Diceros bicornis minor: one gene and its partner. Each later gene encodes a partner of the first gene's protein in a complex. Links are inferred from orthologs where the notes say so. Each region holds a gene or a part of one and is shown on either strand. Other genes may lie near its edges.

Region 1 (3,909 bases):
GGGGGGAGATTTGGAAGAGGACGAGAGAGACTGAGAAAGATTAGGAGAAATAAATGAGGAATTTTGAGAGTTGAGAGGTCATGAGAGATGGGATGTCATGAGAGACAGAGAAACTGTGAGAAAGGTGGGGACTGTGAGAAAAGGGGGTGATTGTTGAGGGGAGTGGGAGCTAGTTTGAGAATGTTCAGGAGAGAGCATGTGGGAGTGAGTGAGGGACAGGTGCCAATGTGAGAGGCAGGGTTGAAGACTCAGTGCAAGCTGAGAGACCCACTTGCTTGCTCAAGGAAAGGAGGGGAGGGGACTAAAGGTCTTAAGCCTTACTATCCCCATTTTCCAGATGAGAAAATTCAGGCTCAGAATAGCAAGTGACTTGCTTGAGGTCTCCCAGCTGGCAAGTGGCAGAGCCATAATTTAAACCCCAAATGGCCCAACTCTAAAGCCAGTACTCTACCATACCACATCTCCTCCTTCTGTTTTCCCTAAGTCTTCCTTAAGGAAGTCACGTAACTTAGTCCAAAGATGTGCTTTTACTGCTCTGTAAGGTGACCTTTTGGCGCGCTTTTTTTTTTTTTTTTTTTTTGCTGAAGAAGATTGGCCCTGGGCTAACATCCATGCCCATCTTCCTCTACTTTATATGGGACACCACCACACCACGGCTTGAGAAGCGGTGCGTCGGTGCGCACCCAGGATCCGAACCTGTGAACCCCGGGCCACCAAAGCAGAGCGCACGAACTTAGCCGCTACACCACGGGGTCGGGTCCACCTTTTGGCTTTTAACAGCCTTAAAACATTATCTTTTTGAAAAGGGAGACAGAATTATTCCACTGTCCCAATTTATTTCTTTGTACTACATCAAAATTTAAAACTTCTGGGCATCAAAGGACACAATCAACAGAGTGAAAAGGCAACCTACAGAATGGAAGAAAATATCCGCAAATCATATACCTGACAAAGGGTTGATATCCAGAATATATAAAGAACTACAACTCAACAACAACAAAAAACCCCGACTAAAAAATGGGCAAAGGACTTCAGTAGACATTTCTCCAAAGAAGATATACAAATGGCCAATAAGCACAGGAAAAGATGCTCAACATCACTAATCATTAGAGAAATGCAAATCAAAACCACAATGAGATAACACTTCACTATCATTAGGATGGCCAGTAACAACAACGACAAAAAAAACCCAGCAAAAATTAGTGTTGGCGAGGATGTGGAGAAATTAGAACCCTTGTGCACTGTTGGTGGGAATGTAAAACGGTGCAGCTGCTATAGAAGACAGTTCCTCAAGAAATTGAAAATAGAATTACCATATGATCCAGCAATCCCACTTCTGCATATATATCCAAAAGAATTGAAAGCAGCAGATATTTGCACACCCAAAGAGATACTGCAAACTCGAAGAGATACTTGCACACCCATGTTCACAGTAGCACTATTCACAACAGTCAAGAGATGGAAGCAATCCAAGTGTCCATCAACAGATAAATGGATAAACAAAATGTGATATATGCATACAATGGAATATATATGCATACAAAGGAAGGAAATCCTGTCACATGACACAACATGGATGAACCTTGAGGACATTATGCTAAGTGAAATAAACAAATCACAAAAAGACAAATACTGTAAGATTCCACTTACATGAGGTCCCTAGAGGAGTCAATTTCAGAGACAGAAAGTAGAATGGTGGTTGCCAGAGGCTGGGGTAGGGGGAATGAGGAGTTGTTTAATAGGTACAGAGTTTTAGTTTTGCAAGATGAAAAGAGTTCTGGAGATGGATGGTGGTGATAGTTGAACAATGTTAATGTATTTAATACCACTGAAGTGTGCACTTAAGAATTGTTAAGATGGTAAATTTTATGTTGTACTTTATCACAATTAAAAAAATTTTTTAAATGCTCTTTCCATCACCATGCCCCCCACCCTTGGCCGTCTGGTGACTGCTTACTCATTTTTCAACACAAATGTCTCCTCCCCTTTGCTCACCGACCCTTGTAGTTGGCCATTTCCTCCTTTATGCCCATACCGTGCCTTACACATTATACCTCTTACAGCACCTGTCAAACCTCATAGCGATTATTGGTTTACCTATCCCTTTCCACTACTAGATTATAAGCAATTTGGGGACAGGGACAGTGCTTTACTCATCTCTGTAGTTTCTAGGCCTGGGGCTTGATAGGCTGTAAAGAATCAAGAAAGGCTTGACTAATTGAAGTTCTGGCTCTTAAGGAGTTCATGCTGGAGAGTTATTTGACCAAAAACGGGGGCATCAGGGAGCTCCCCAGGCTTTAGAAATCTAAACAGAGTCCCACGCCCTACTCCGAGAATGTGGGCGAGCGTCTCACAACGCTCCGTCTGAGCAGTTTGGGCCCCTGGGAGGGTCCGAGGGCCCCCCACTCCCGGCCAGGGCCTGCGGCCTAGACCAGCCCAGCGGCCCAGACATACCTCAGGTAATGGGCAGCCTGCTCTGGGCTTAAGGCCTCGGCTTCCGCAACCCCTCGGGACGCCTCCATGACCCTCACTCTGGGTTTCTGTATCTCGGCCGGAGATTGAATTTCGCTCGCTCCCGCCCCGCGCACGCGACGTGCGCACGTACGCTGGGCAGGGCCAACCGTCGGCCTCGCAGCTGGCCAATCCGCAGCCCCGCACTCCGGCGCCATCGCCTGAGCCCCGCCCACGAAGGTCGCGCGCATGCGTCTACGCGCGCTGGCGCTAAGAGGCAGTCGCGGCTCCCGTGGTTAGGGGTGTTGCGTCATTTTGTTTTCTGTTGCGTTTTCATTCCGATCCAAACTCTGCTACTGCAAATTCGTGTGTGTGCTGTCCTCGTGCGTGGAGTAGACTGCTTGATATGATCTCATTTTAGTGGCCCTTAGAGACCTCCTCCAGAGGCTGCGCCCCAAATATCTTCCTTTCCCTGCTCGCCAATGCCTGAGCATGCTTTGAATTCAAACATGGGAGGCATAGTCCCTGTGACTTAAACTCACACTGAAGAAGGGTCTTCAAGAACCAAGCCAAAGCTCTCATTTAAGAAATAAATAGTGCTGCGGTGCATGGTCACCAGTTCAGAAGCTCCAACCGAGCTGCAGTCATATTTTCAAAGGCAGACCTCAGGGCTTCAGGAAACGAGGTGATGGAGTTTAAGTGGCTTGCTTGGGTGATGCTAAATAGGAGGTTGTGGGCCAACAAAAATTGTCCTTGTTCATATACTAGTAAGAACAGGGACATTATGCTTCCTCAAGGCACTAATTAACATTCAGCATTTGAAAACTCACCTATTGGCCCAGTCATATGCTACCGTACATCCAGAGCACTTTAAGCTTTTTGTAAATTTCATAGACCGTTAGGAGTTAAAAAGGGATCTTGGAGAAGATGGGCTATTTTCCTGGTTTATATCACTTTAAATCATGTGTTCACATGGCTTTAGGCTCTCTGTTAAAAGGGCTTTTGGTATATTACCATTATTCCTATTTTTCAGACGTCAAAACTGAGGCTCAGAGAAAGAAAGTGACTTTGCCTAAGGGAAATGTCAGAGCCAGAATTCAATAACAGGTCTATATGGACACAAATCCGTACTTGTTCACTGTGTCACACCGTCTGTTGCTGGAAAGAAGAGGGAAGTGGTGGGAAATGAGATTGATGAGGTAATTGGAGGCCAGTTTGTGAAGGAGCTTGTTAACATGCTGAAGTGTTTACATCACTTCTTTTCCTGGAGGCAAGTTTGGCGTGGGGTGGGTCGAATGTGCAGGTGCCCTGGATACCCGAAGGATGAATGTGGTGAGAAGAAGGGCTGGTGGGGAGAATTCCATAGAAAGGTAAAAAGAGATGGGAGCAGAAAAATCTTTGGAGTGTGGGGAAGACCATCTCTAGTTGTGCTTTGGCTCAGTGGCCACCATTATCACT
Region 2 (3,909 bases), on another chromosome or scaffold:
TGGCTAGTAACCTTCACGTGTTCCTGTATTATAAAACTGGAGGTATTTAAAAGTCACAGCCCCAAATTTTTCATCATGGTGTCAATACAATTCATAAAAGCCCGTTTCTTTCCTCATTGCTTCTGGGGCTTTCTAGACAGCTCTAAAAAGTGGCAGGCAGGACATTCCTGCAGGAGATTAAATTTTTACCAGAATCATATCTCTGTCAGGGTTAACTCCAATTCTTCTCTTCCTAAATATAAGACATTCTGCTATTCCTTTGCTCCTGTAAGAAATGCTTAGGAACTTAGAAGTAACCAAAAGGAAATGTGTGAAAAAAATGTTGCAATGTGGTTCCGTCTGACAGATTATTGCGATGCTGACTATCTCGGTTACTAGGTCCTAACCGGGCCCTCTTCTTGCCATAACTAATGCTTTGTGTATGGTGGGGGAAGAGAAGGACATAAAATTTTTCTTTTATATTACTTCCACAAGGAGACGGCGTCTCTGGTAAAACCCACCCTCAGCGGCATTTTGACAGATTTTAAAGGCTCTGGTTGTACCCGTGAATTTCATTTCAAGGGCCACGCACACACCAGCTAACTCACTAGTAGGAACAGGCTGCACTGACCCCACCTTTCTTCTGGAATCCAAGAGGCTCTCCATTCATTTAGTAAATATATTTATTGAGCACCTACTAAGTTATCAGACACTGGGGTCGTAGCCGGGGATGTAAAACTGTAAAGAAGATACAAAATCTTGCGTAAATCTCAGCACTGAGGGTGAGGGAAGCTGACAGGGTCCTGTGTGGTGATATGAAACGGGAAACTAGGGATGGGTGGTTAAAGAAAAAACAGAAAACTGAGGGGGTGGGCGTTAGGAGTGTGGATAACAAAAGGATCTCCTCCATCTCTCTCATTTACATACCAAGCTAGCCCGGGAGCTCACTTCCTAGCCTCAGTCTCCTGCAGCGGTAGCTTGCTGGCACTCTACGCGTTGCCCTTATCACGTTAAACATTCAAAAGTTACTTTAAGAAGGTGAAGTTGAAAATTTTCCGCCTCTGAAGTGCTAGCCCTATTCCGCGCACCCTTTTTAGGTTAGGTTAGCTTTTGCGTGTAAAATCCTTCCAGACAGACCACCGAGCATTCAAACTCGTTTACCTCTGTAAAAACACCTTGTAAAAAATATATATGCATCGGCACACAAGGCCCTCCCGAGTGCTGCGGCACGACGCGCCGGTAAGGCGAGGGCAAGCTCTGCCCTCGTTTCCTCGTGGGAAACCACGTTTGAAATAAAGAGAGGAAGGGGGCAGTCACGAGGGGCGGCGAGCGCCCCGGGCCCCGGCCCCGCGGCCGGCCGGGAAGGCCTCGCGCCAGCCGGGGTGCACACCCAAGGCGCCGGGCCCGCCTCCAGCTCCCGGGCAGCGGGAACCGCGAACCGCGCCGTGGACGGCGGGGAGGGAGCGCTGCGCCCCCTGGCGGCGGGGTCCGTCCCTGTCTGCTCCCGGCCGCCGCCGCCGCCGCCGCCGCCGCCGCCGCCGCCGCGGGCCTGCCTCGCTCCATTTGCAGACTCGGGAGGTAGCGTCCTCCGAGCGGCGGCTCCTCGGGCCTCCCGCTCCCCGCTCGGCATCTCGCTCCAGTCCCCGCCCCCTTCTCCTGCCCTGACACCCCCTGCTACACGCCGAGCCGTCCCCAACGCAGCCCGGCCGAGCGCGAGCGCCGAGCCCACCGCCGGCTCCGCAGAGCCTTCCGCCAGCCCCGGCCGCTCCATCGCGGCGCCCGGCGGGGGTGCGGGGTCGGCGCGCGGCGCGAGTGGGGCGGGCGGCGGCGCGGACCGTTCCACTCTGCGTCCCCCCCGCCCCCGCGCGGCGCGCGTGCTCCCCGGAACGCCATGGAGCCGCCGCGCTCGGAGCGGGCACAAAGGGGCGCGCGGCACAATGGGCGCGGCGAGCCCGTGGGCGCCGGGCGCCCGCTCCGGCGGCTCGGCCCCGCGCGGGGGTGGGCGCTCCTCCCGGCGGGCGCGCTCTGGGCAGCCCCCCTTCGCGTCCCCTCCCCTGCTCCCGCCCCCACCCCGGCATGGATGTTGCAGCCACTCTCCCGTCCGGCCGCCCCGGAGCCGCCGCCGCGCGGCCGGCTTGATCCGCCCCGCACTTACCTGGGACACGAGTTCTGTACTTTGCCGAGCGGGCCCGCGCCGAGTTTGGGCGCCACGTGGGGGGGGCGGGGGAGCGCGAGGCCGGGGAGTGGGGGCCGCGCGCGGAGGGCCTGGCGGGGCGGCCCGGGGAGTTGCTGGGGGCGGCGGGCGGGCGCCGTGTATTTTCCCCTCTCTTTGTGTGTGTCCGTGCGCTGCGCTCTCGCGTGACGTGACGGGACTCCGTGTGTCATTTCCGCACAAGGACACAGGAGCCCCCGCTGCAGTGGAACCACAACCCCTCCGCCCCCACCCCCGGCCCGCCCCTCCCCCTCAGCGGGGCACACGCGGGACCGGCGGCGGCGCTCGGGCGTGAACGGCCGCGGCGGGGAGCTGGGGCGCGCTCTCCGGGGCCCCGGGCGGCCCGGCGCGCTCGGCAGGCGCCGCGCAGCTCCACGTGGGCCCGCGCCGGCTGCCCGGGGTGGGGGCGGCGGCCGCGCACCCACGGCGCGGCGCGCAGCGCCGGCTCCCGGTGTCCGGTGCACGCCGTGTGTCCTCCCCCCGCGAGTTGTTTCCCTAAAACGTGGTTTCTCAGACCGGAGGAGTTTGACCTGAAAAGCCTCTTTTTCTACTTTTTTTCCTCCGCGGGACGGCAGTGTGCGGGGCGTCTCCTCCTCTGGCGCCCGCGCCTCTCCCGCATTTTTGGCATCTTGGCCGGCCCCCGGCCCCGGGCGGGTGTTCCCGCGCCGCGCTCGGCACAAAGACATCGGGGCGCAGGGCCCCGGGTGGCCCCGCGGCACCGGCATGGAGTCTGGCGGGCCGCGGGAGAGCGACCCCGGCGCTGGGAAACGCTGGCTCTGGCCACTCCCCCAGCACGGTGGCCGCCCTGTGTTGTAAGCCTGAGAGCTAAAAATCTGCCTTCTACTTGTAACCCGAAGTTTTGAGGTTTGAGGCTGCAGAGCGAGGATTCAGAAGTGCGCGCGCTCACAGACCCACATGCCACAGACCAACCCACGGGATATCTGCGCCGAGCGCTTAAAATAGAAAAACACGAGTCACCAGCTCAAAGGCTGATTCTTTCTACTCCTGACTCCCAGACTGGAGATTCCAAGTTGATAAATACGAAACCCCCCCGCTCGGGGATTTTTTTCAAGTCTCAGTGACATGAAGGGGTGTGGTGTTTGTGAGAGTCAGGGAAGCTCAATCCAACAGTTAAGCCACGTCTATATTTTGGGCAAACAATGAAAATGTAAATTAAAAAAAATCCTTTAACTTGCCGATCGAAGAAAATATAAAAAGAAAAATGCAAATGAGCCCATCTGCTGCTCACAGCTGACTGGCTGCAAGAGGGGACCATGTGGCCCAGCCCTGCGCGGTCAGTGAATAGGTAGAATAGATTTTAAAAGAAGGCATATGCTAGCTCCTTGCTGCCCAGTCGCGGGGAGGGTTTGAATTAACGTATAGTTTTGGGTTACCGTATCCTCCAGACCACTCCAGTTGGGAATTTAGTAATTATGCAAGTGCCTCCCCTTCGGGGCTAAAATCAAAAGGCACAAGGTTATCTAAGACTTTTGAGGAACTACGCGGAACATTCTCGAATTGTATTTGGATAGCCCATTTGAGAAGTCAGTACTAATTGCTATGCAAAATTAGCAAGCAGCCGGGAGAACCGAGCCCTGCATCCAGAGGGTGTGCTTTTATAAAAGAATCCATACGTGCTCAGTGTCATTCAAAACAGGATGATGAAAAGAATGGGGCCAAGATAGCAGCCCTTCAAATTCAAAAGACTAGAGTCGCCC

What was found.
Region 2: the proteins of ERCC6L (region 1) and BEND3 are in contact, whole or in part, in a crystal structure (PDB 5JNO), measured with the Homo sapiens proteins. The link is inferred for Diceros bicornis minor from reciprocal best matches to the Homo sapiens genes ERCC6L and BEND3. Residues at the interface, in NP_060139.2 of Homo sapiens: Ala10, Glu11, Ala12, Leu13, Ser14, Pro15, Glu16, Ala18, Ala19, Tyr21, Leu22, Arg23, Lys26, Phe51, Pro52, Asn53, Glu54, Lys55; in NP_001073919.1 of Homo sapiens: Glu252, Gln255, Ile256, Gln259, Leu261, Asp265, Arg269, Val272, Gln273, Pro276, Phe279, Ser280, Phe335, Arg338, Phe339, Gln342, Glu346.

The regions. Positions count from the first base shown.
Region 1 is NC_080781.1:65,243,150-65,247,058, forward strand, and holds the start of ERCC6L (DNA excision repair protein ERCC-6-like), read right to left. Parts: upstream 2,559-3,909; 5' UTR 2,523-2,558; coding exon 2,455-2,522; intron 1-2,454. UniProt on the Homo sapiens protein: DNA helicase that acts as a tension sensor that associates with catenated DNA which is stretched under tension until it is resolved during anaphase. Functions as ATP-dependent DNA translocase. Can promote Holliday junction branch migration (in vitro).
Region 2 is NC_080762.1:27,688,207-27,692,115, reverse strand, and holds the start of BEND3 (BEN domain-containing protein 3), read right to left. Parts: upstream 2,352-3,909; 5' UTR 2,135-2,351; intron 1-2,134. UniProt on the Homo sapiens protein: Transcriptional repressor which associates with the NoRC (nucleolar remodeling complex) complex and plays a key role in repressing rDNA transcription.